2 linked regions of the Canis lupus familiaris genome follow. The protein of the gene in region 1 purifies or fractionates together with the protein of each later gene. This does not show direct contact. Links are inferred from orthologs where the notes say so. Each region holds a gene or a part of one and is shown in the gene's direction. Other genes may lie near its edges.

The links. Proteins that work in one complex are often made in the same cells at the same time.
Region 2: the proteins of PLRG1 (region 1) and SF3B1 purify together in Homo sapiens (co-immunoprecipitation; 3 studies listed by BioGRID and IntAct, with this or other methods). This does not show direct contact. The link is inferred for Canis lupus familiaris from reciprocal best matches to the Homo sapiens genes PLRG1 and SF3B1.

What each region holds. Positions count from the first base shown.
Region 1 is NC_049236.1:52,570,805-52,575,689, reverse strand, and holds the start of PLRG1 (pleiotropic regulator 1), read left to right. Parts: upstream 1-1,437; 5' UTR 1,438-1,583; coding exon 1,584-1,592; intron 1,593-2,900; coding exon 2,901-3,007; intron 3,008-3,296; exon of another isoform or gene 3,297-3,368; intron 3,369-4,039; coding exon 4,040-4,182; intron 4,183-4,878; coding exon 4,879-4,885. UniProt on the Homo sapiens protein: Involved in pre-mRNA splicing as component of the spliceosome. Component of the PRP19-CDC5L complex that forms an integral part of the spliceosome and is required for activating pre-mRNA splicing.
Region 2 is NC_049258.1:6,838,894-6,844,000, reverse strand, and holds the start of SF3B1 (splicing factor 3B subunit 1), read left to right. Parts: upstream 1-2,058; 5' UTR 2,059-2,189; coding exon 2,190-2,217; intron 2,218-5,107. UniProt on the Homo sapiens protein: Component of the 17S U2 SnRNP complex of the spliceosome, a large ribonucleoprotein complex that removes introns from transcribed pre-mRNAs.

The sequences.
Region 1 (4,885 bases):
TTATCTCAACTATTACAATGTTTGATGAGTCTGGGTTTATACAATTCTTTCCTGGATGATTAACATGTTAACAGGCCCCAACTAGACAGTTATTATATTGCCATAGATATATTAGAATCTTGTTTACATTTCTATAATTTCATCACCTTTAAAAATAGTATTCTTTTGTATAGTTATCACTATCTATGAGGAAGTTAAAATATGATGTAGGTTCCCAAGTACATATTGCACCATTATAGAATTTCTTTATGAGGCCCACCACCAGTGGCTACTGCTGCAGAAACTCAGTAGGCCAAACTCACTCAAATTCAAACACGATTGTATTTTCAAGTAGAAACATGACCTTAATGTTTTTGATTAATTAAGAATCAATGTACATCCAATGAGATTAGCAATTCACATTGATATACTTTTGATAGGATTTTATTTATTTATTCATGAGAGACACAGAGAGAGAGGCAGAGAAACAGGCAGAGGGAGAAGCAGGCTCCATCCCTGCAGGGAGCCCGATGATCAGGGACCCCAGGGTCACATCCTGGGTCCTGGGCCGAAGCAGATGCTCCCCCACTGAGCCCCCCAGGTGTCCCTCAATAAGACTTCTTCCCTCTCCAAGCCCATGCGGTATGCTGAGATCAGTGGAATTGATTAGCTTAAGGAACAAGCAGGGCCAGTGAAATATTTGCCTATCGGATTTACAAATGTTCAACTCCTGTTTGCATAGAAAAGTAATGGGACAGGCTTGATCGAAAACTGCATTTTACCTAAGACAAGACAATATAAAATACTGCTATTTTGGCACTAGGATGTGTATAAATAAAAGTGGCTCGAGTCTTCAGTTGTGTCTTTCTTCCGCCAGCTTTGAAAAGCTGCCCTTTGATACTGTCGACGCCACCACGTTCATTAGCAGACTGGCTGAAAATCGTGCGGTTTTGAGAGATTTAAAAAAAAAAAAATCTATGCAGCGTAAAAATAAATGTGGGGATTTGCCGTACAGGGCTACAACAAAGATCTTTGCACACTTTCTCAAATGCAAAGTGTTCCGCAACATCCGGCCGCCAAGGGTTAACGGGACAGCATCAGCGCAGGTGCTCTCGGCAGCCGAGGCCGCAGCGCGCGGAGGCTTCCAGGCCGGGCAGCCCCGCGGCGCAGCGGGAGCCGAGACGTCAATCAGGGGAGCTGGACGCGGACCGGGATTCGCTCTCTCCAGACCCTCCCTAGAACGGACTCCTTGGGTTCGCTGGGAAAAAAAATAAAATTAAAGGATTAAGCTTGGGGAGGCACAGCGCAAACAACCACACCCCTGAACCGAACTACTTAAGTCCGAGCCGAAGGCTCTTCCAAGACCTCCTCCGGGACGCCGCTGAGCCCCGCCCACCTCGCCGAGGCCACGCCCCTCTGGAGAAAGCCCCGCCCCTCGATCCCAGAAGGCCGCCGGGCGGCTACCGCGCCTGCGCGGAGGCCCCACTTCCGGCGCCAGGGCGCTCGATTCCGGAAGGGCTGCGCGGCGGCGGCGGCGGCGGCGGCTTCTGTGTTGCGGGCTGGTGTCCCTTGTCTGTTGGAGCGGCGAGTCGCACGGCAGCATCATGGTCGAGGTAAGGTGGCGCTTGGTGCTGAGGGGTCGTTGGCTTCCGCGGTGTTTTTCCTTGGCGGCGGGCGTGGGGGGGTGTTCGCGGTTTGGGGATGGTGAAGGCTGCGGAGGGGGGCTGTCTGGCCGAGGCCGGGTGGTCTCTGAAGGTTTTCAGGGGCAGAGGAAGGCCGGGTGGGAGCCCTGGCTGGACGTTACCCGCGGCCGCGAAGCCCGACTGAGTTTCCACGGTCCGTATTTGGCTCTTGAGCGTCGGGTCTCGGCCGGGCCCCCGGAGGCGCCGCGTCCGGCCCCGCGGGGTCCCCGCCTGCAGAGCAGCGTCAGGGGCTGTGTGTCCTGAGGCGGGCGGTCTTCCTCCAGCTCTGCCCCCAGGAAGACCTGCCATTTTGAAGTTTTGCATCAAACTGTTAGCCAGCCTTGCCCGTCTCATCTCAGAAATACTTCTGGAGCCTTGTCCAGACCCACTGCCTTCGCCTTAATTCAGATCCGGCGTCATCCTTCGTCTGCACGAGTGCCTTAGCTCCCTGCTGGTGTTCTCGCTTCCATTTCTTCGCCCTCTGCAAAATTGATCTGTTTAAGATATACGTTGATCGCGTTTTTTTCTGCTTAAAATCCTTCGCTGGCCAGATGTCACTAGAGCAAAAGTGCAGACTGTTGCAGTGATCCTTTAAAAAAAAAGAATCCTTAACCTAATCTGCACCTTGTCTACCCTTGCAACCTCATCCCAGCCTCACAGTCCACCTTCCAGTGGAACATGCACAGTTCTCTTGCAGCTCCGGCCATCATTGCAGCCACCAAACCCCTGTGTACCTGGCATTTCCTCTCTGCCTGGATTGTTCTCACCTCTGCTCTGCACGAGGCTGAATTTCTGCCTAAGGAATACCTCAGAGAGATCTTTCATAACTATCCTAGGTTCTTTCTTGGCTTGCTTCCTTCATAGCACTTATCAAAGATTTGTTGCTTATTTTTCGTTTTCTCTTGAGCACTGGGACCATGGCTGCCTTGTCATCATTCTTTTGTTAGCTTCTAGCACAGTGCCTGCCAGACACATAGTAGGAACTCAGTAAATACTTGTTCGAATCAATGGCTAAGCTCAGGCATCACTAATTGGTATACCTGGGGCTCTGGCCATTGAGGAGCTTCCTCCTCCTCTCTGACCTTGACTTCTTCTATCGCTTGCTACAAATAGCTGTGGTGAGTGGTACAAAGCTTTTTACATATTTAAATGTGTAAAGTGTATGGCTGCTTTGACTTAATTTAGGTTGTGGTATGTGTCATTTGTAGCTAGATATGTGATTCTGTTCTTTCTTTTTAGGAGGTACAGAAACATTCTGTGCACACACTTGTGTTCAGGTCATTGAAGAGAACCCATGACATGTTTGTAGCTGATAACGGAAAACCTGTGCCTTTGGATGAAGAGAGGTAGGTATTGTTCCTTTTCAGTTACTGGAATATGTAACTTCTAATGTTGGGGGAAGAGAGCAGGGAGAGGGGGACCTTTAAAGCTTAGTGAGTGATACTAACACTCGTAGGATGTCTATTCGGTAATGAATGGTGTTTGGGCATGATTTAAGCTGATTTAACTTTTTTTGGCCTTGTCTTTCACAATAAAAAGTCCCATTAATTAATTGCATTTATAAATACCCAGTAATTAGGAGAGTCCCTTTTAGGTGTTTTATTTTATAATCAATCACTTTGTATGTGCTTTCAGCTTCCCGCTGCTCTCAGAGCCTTGCTGAGCTGAAATTGTACCTGGCCAGTACCTCTACTCCCATCTTTTCTCGTTAGTATGATGAAGATTTTTGAGTGGTGGCATATTTTTGGTTCTACATCTCCAGCTCCAGTCTGGGATTGCATTATGTGCAGTGTTCCTTCTTTGTCCTTTACCCTTCTTTTAAAATCTACTTAATTCCTAAGACAAGCATTTATATTTAATTTATTAAGTGAGCTGTTCTTAAGACTAATATAAGTGCATTTCTTTAAAAAATATTGAACTAATTAACTACTTTGATTAGTTCTAATTGGTCTTTTTAGATACATCCAGTAAAGGTTATGATAGAAGCTTTTACTGTGTTTTTATATTGACACATTTGAAGGAAAGTGTATTGACTGAGGTTTTTAAAAGGATATATTAGTTTCTATATGTTTTTAAATCAGACCCTTGGTAATTTATCATGAAAGGTTATATATTTATTGGTTAACAAATTAAAATGCTACTTAGACTTAATGGATGCTCTGTGGTGGATTGGGAACAAAAAAAGTGTGGAAATGCACTTGGAAATTCCAAGCTTTTTAAAATACTATTTAACTTTAAAAACTTCATAGAATTTTTTCTACATGATTAGGCAAACCTAAGCTATTTAAGTACTTGTGTTCTTGGCTGTCTATATTTCTTTTGGCTAATATATTTAAAGCACTCAAAGATACATTCTTATGTTCATAATTTTTAAATAGTCACAAACGGAAAATGGCAATCAAGCTGCGTAATGAGTATGGTCCTGTGTTGCACATGCCTACTTCGAAAGAAAATTTTAAAGAGAAATGTCCTCAGAATGCATCGGATTCGTATGGTCATAAGCAGTATCCTGCCAATCAAGGTGAGGATGTATTATCAGAAATGTCAGGACTTACATGTGAATTTTCAAAATGAAAAAATGAAATGTTTTAGTGCCCATCCCAGGAAAACTGAATAGAGCCATACCCTATTGAACAACTATACCAGTATTATAACGGAAGTCTTGATTTCCTCATTGAAGTAGTGAGTTGAGATTATTGGTTGGTGGATTTTTTCTTACAGGAAATAAAAATGTGATAGAATAATAATGCAGAAAATCTTAGGATGTACAGGTGGAGACTAAAGGAAAAATTTGTAACATACGGAAAGACCGTCTGTTTTGGCTGTCATTCAGAAAGGTGATTCTAAGCACTAAAATTGTAGTGAATAAAGATGATCTAAGATTCCTTTTTTTTTTTTTAAATCTAAGATTCCACAGAAAAATCATTTGCATGGGAGAAAAACCAGAATGGGGGTTGTTACTTGATAGGATGATCTCTCTCCACACCATTACAATTATACAAGCTTTCTTGACATCATATTAGCAAATATCAAGGAAATAGGTGTGTACATGGTCCTCAGAAGTCAAAACAAAAATCAATATATCTTGGTTCTGAGGTTTTGGTTTAGCTGGGAAAATTTGAGAAATTCAGTTGGTGACTTCGCATTCGTTAAAAGAGATAATGCTTATATGTAAATTTGCCACTGATAATGATGATGATTCTTCTCCCTTTTAAAGGACAAGA
Region 2 (5,107 bases), on another chromosome or scaffold:
TCATTTTTTTTTTTTTAAATATAGTTTATTTCTAGAAATCTGTACACCCAATGTGGGGCTCAAATTTACCACTGTGAGATTAAGAGTCGCATGTTCTTTCAACTGAGCTGGCCAGGCATTCCATCTTTTAATATATTCCTTTTGTGTATTATAAAAATGTGCTTATAGCAAAGTATCTGGAAAATACTAAAAATTATTTTTAAAGTTCATAATTTCACCAGTCATAGGCATCCACTATTAACACTTTGGTGAATTTCCTTTGCATATATTTTGACAGGACAGTGATTGTCTTGTATATACAAATTTACCTTTCTTCTTTTTTCTTTTTTTTCTTCCTATTTTTAAATAAGAGCCAAGAAATGCCATGTCCTTGTGATTCTTTTTGTCAACATGGATTTTTTTAGATTGTTGATTATTGATGGATCATAACACCCTTCTGTAATTCTTTATTTCCCATTCATCCTTTTTTCATTATTTTAAAACATGCTATTTTATATATATAAAAGAATATGTGCAATCTATGTGTAGGTTATAAACTATGTAAGGAATATCTGTGGGCACTCTGCCAATTCAACAACTAGAGTTTACCAATAATTCATAAAATTACATGTTCTTGGGACGCCTGCATGGCTCAGGGGTTGAGTGTCTGCCTTCAGCTCAGGTCGTGACCCCTGTGGTCCCTGGGATCCAGTCCCATGTCAGACTCCCTGCAGGGGGCCTACTTCTCCCTCTGCCTGTGTCTATCTCTCATGAATAAAATCTTTTTTTAAAAAAACAATCTACATGTTCTCTTAACCCTTTCCTCCCTCAACTATTGTTTAACCTAAATTAAAACAATTGAAAATTGAAAATTTTCTCTCATCAAATTGATTTTTTTCATTGATACTAAGTCCCATTTTTGTTACTAAAGTTTCTACTAAATACTCATGTTGTGATCCTGTTACACAGCCAGGCAAACGTTTTTGGTGATAGCTCTAACCTTAATCCTTACCTGTTTCCTTAGGCTGCTTCCTGTACCAACTTCCCCTCAAAGTTATGTTCTTTTTTAATCCTAAAGTCCAAGGCCAGTGTGGCAGTTCAAAATTATGCTTTTGTAATTGAGGAGTAGGCAAAAAAAAAAAAAGAAAAGCCATATTTGGAGCTTTTAAAAATTCCTGATTCAAGAGTGACATTTAGGATTAAGAGAGGCATTCCAGGGATCCCTCGGTGGCGCAGCGGTTTGGCGCCTGCCTTTGGCCCAGGGCGCGATCCTGGAGACCCGGGATCGAATCCCACGTCGGGCTCCCTGCATGGAGCCTGCTTCTCCCTCTGCCTGTGTCTCTGCCTCTCTCTCTTTCTCACTGTGTGTCTATCATAAATAAATAAATAAAAATTAAAAAAAAAAGAAAGGCATTCCATCAGTGTTAATGCTGACAGCCAGTGGTTTTCTAAGAACCTATGAAATTAAAAGGCTTTAAAAAAGGACGGCACAGTTCCTCCCGGGTAATTCAGTAAGGGTGTGACCTTGCATATTTTATTTACACCCCCGCCCTAGTTTTCCTCTCCTTTCTTAAATGGGATTAGCAACAACTCGCCCACTTTCCTGGGTTGTTTGTGAGGTACAACAGTGTCTGGAAATAATAATGTTGTGCACGAAACTCCTACCCAAATGGCAAGTAATTCTTTAAGAAGAAAGAAAAATGACCTTGAATTTCAGCGCGAAGGACGTGACTGGTGTGTGTCTCCACAACTACCCACTGCAGCCGCTGAGAGACGCCACAGGAGCTCTCGCCTGGCACCGACACACCTCCGCTCGACGTGGAGGACGAGAACTGACGGCCTGAGGCTTCGGACGGGCCTGAAATCCAGCGTCTCTCGCAGTGACTATCAGCGGGTCCTCGCACAACCCACTTCCCTCCAGAGCAGTCGCCGTCGCCCCCGCCCCCGCCCCCGCGTCAGGACTCGCTTAGCCCTCCTCCTCCCGCCACCGCGAAAACCGCCTCCGCGCCGGGCCCTGGCTCCTCCCCCTCCCCCACAATGCATCGCTCTGTTCCCTCTAGGCGGCTGCTCCGTCACGTGTCGCGCGGCGGCGCGCGCCCCCGCTTGGCGCACGCGCAGAGAGCATTCCCCAGCTATTTTTCTCCGTGGCAGCGGCGGCGAGCGGAAGTGCTGGGGAGCGCCAGTTCCGTCTGTGTGTTCGAGTGGACAAAATGGCGAAGATCGCCAAGACCCACGAAGGTAAGGCGTCTTCCCGTGCTCCCGCGTCTTCTCTGCTGCCAGCCTGCCAAGACTCGATTTTACTCGGTTTTTGCCTCGGCCTGTGGTTTCGTTGGTGGGGTGCCGCGCCCGCGCGTGGGGGCCCTGGTCGGCTCCTCGGCGCTAGCGGCGCAGGCCACTGCCCCACGTAATGGCGTCCTACTCCTCCACCGCGGGCAGGCGCTTTGTTCCGCGTTTGGGTCCTGTTCCTTCAGAGTTGCTTCTCTTTTCCGAGCGGAAGGCCTCGTTCAGACGGCTCGCCGGGGGGGAGGCCAGGGCCGCGAATCGGGGAAACGGGCGTGAAAGCCGGGAGTCGCCCTCGCCTCACGGAACTGTGGCGGGCGCAGTTCGTGCCCGGGGGAGTCGGGGGAGCCCGGGAACACGGCAGCCGCTTTTCGGCAGCGCCAACTCGAGCGTAGCCTGCTTGAGGCCCGTTCCTCTTCGTCTCGGCTAATCAGGCATCTAAAATACTTTTTTTTTTTTTTTTGTATGAAGTGATTTGGACATAAAATCTGGTAGTTTTTTCTTCCCGTGATCACTTGTATATTGGTGTTTGTTCCCCACCCCCCCCCCTTGGAGACTGATGATTGGTGGAAGAGGGAAAGGCACGTTATTATTCCCAGCGGTCAAAGCTTTCGAGGTACCTGATCGTTTTGTGGAATTCGGAGAACACGGAATTTAGGAAAATGCTGAGAATAAGCCGGAGTTCTTGAGGGAGTATCCAGTTTCCAGAAATGACAGGAAATAGGGTCACTTCAGAGAAGATGAGGCATGGGCATTGGGAGGCGCGTTCCTTAGGATTTTTTTTTTTTTTTTCTGACCTGGAATCTGAAGCGTTCGTCGAACGGGAGGCTTCCAGGAGTCATTTGTATTTTCACGGGTCGTTTCCAGGTGCTGGCTCCGTGTGAGTCCGAAGTAACAAAGAGTAAGGCCGTGCAAAGTTTTACAGGCTCCTGGGGAGACAGGTGTGTGTGTGTGTATACGTTTTCATTCTTTCATGAGGCAAATTAACGCTTAAATAGAAATACAGGCCGCATGTTCTGGGATTCTGGGTAACGGAGTGATTAATTCCTGCCTAGGTAGGACTCTTCCATAGAGGAGGTGACGTGTCCCTGGCCTAAACGGATCAATCCGTTTTAAATTAGGGGAGGACATTTGAGCCTGAGAGGACATCTTGTAACGAGGCAAGGAGTCCTGAAAAGTGTGTTTGAGTAGTGGACTGTGGCGCTGCAGGGAGGGAAAGTGTAGGCGAATCTGGAAAGGTTGGTTGGGACCAGGATGTGAATGCCCTGGAATAATTGTGTTCCCCGCCAGAACTGAAGTCCAGCTCTCTGCGACATGCTAATTAATGGGCAGTGACTTTAATACTCTTCTCGTTGTGGGGGTAGGTATTTAGGATTTATTTATTTATTTTATTATTATTTTTTATATTTTTTTATTTATTCATGAGATATTTTTTATTTTATATGAGATATATATTTTATTTTATTTATTTATTCATGAGAGACACAGAGAAAGAGAGGCAGAGACACAGGCAGAGGGAGAGGCAGGCTCCCCCACAGGGAGCCTGATGCGGGACTCGATCCCGGAACCCCAGGATCACGCCCAGGGCCAAAGGCAGGCACCAAGCCGCCGAGCCACCCGGGCTGCCCGGTATTTAGGATTTAAACACTGTTTTAGCCCTGAAGGTTGTTTAGGCACTTACTCTTCTGTCTTTAGACTAATCCGGATGTAACCTTTTGCAAAATAATTAGAAACTGAAGATGTTGCTCTTGTTTATTCAGGAGTAGGCTGTTCATTGGGGGCAGTTTGTGGCTTTGATCACTTGTTTGTTGATATTTTTAATCATAAAGATACTTTTGGACAGGGAAATCAAGGTTTGGATCAGGTTTCCTGCTTTTTTGAGACTCAATTAAAAGCTTTGGTCTATAGAAGATTGAAGTTGATTGGCCAAGTTTGCTTTTTTATTTGGAATCTTGCTACAGTATGAATTAACTGATGCTATAAAGAAAGTATAGCAGTATTCAGTTAACAACAGCACTGTGTATAAGACAGTCTGTCACTGTGAGTTTTTGGTAAAGGATGATCAATGTTTAGTGGAAATATGCATAATATTTACATAGAGATACTTTCCTAAAGATCTGGAATGGTTCATGGTGCATCTCTTCTCTTTTCCCTTAATAAGTCATCTCTGATAGCCTGGAGCAGATTTCTTGGTGGGTTTATTTATTTATTTATTTATTTATTTACTTACCTAGGTGCTACTGTAGCTCTTTATTATACTAGAATATTCTATTGTGTTAAGGTTTTTTAAAAAATATTTATTCATGAGAGAGAGAGAGAGAGGCAGAGACACAGGCAGAGGGAGAAGCAGGCTCCATGCAGGGAGCCTGACGTGGGACTCCATCCCGGGTCTCCAGGATCACGCACTGGGTGGAAGGCGGCGCCAAACTGCTGAGCCACCCGGGCTGCCCAAGGTTTTCTTATCCACGTTGAGACTGATGTGTACAGGAACTATTTCTTGGTATCCCCAGTACCTAATGCCTAATGAGTACTGAGTATTAACATTTATTGAGAGATTATATTGGAAATATTAAAAGTTTCACAGAAAGGGGCCGCTTAAACTCACTTTTGAATGATTGGGTAGGTTTGGATACATTGTTTGGCTGAGGTAGGTGGGAAGTAGGACTTGTTAATGTATTGGGAACCTTCTGCGCTGAGAGGAAGAAAGGTTTGCATCAAATTAAAGAAAGCTTTGAACTCTAAGTTAGGCTTGACTTGGCTTTCCAGTGACTACAGAATAAAGTACCTACTTCTCCCAGGTGACAAGTTATTTCTGCATTTTGGGAAAGTCTTTAGTTGCAGTGTTGAA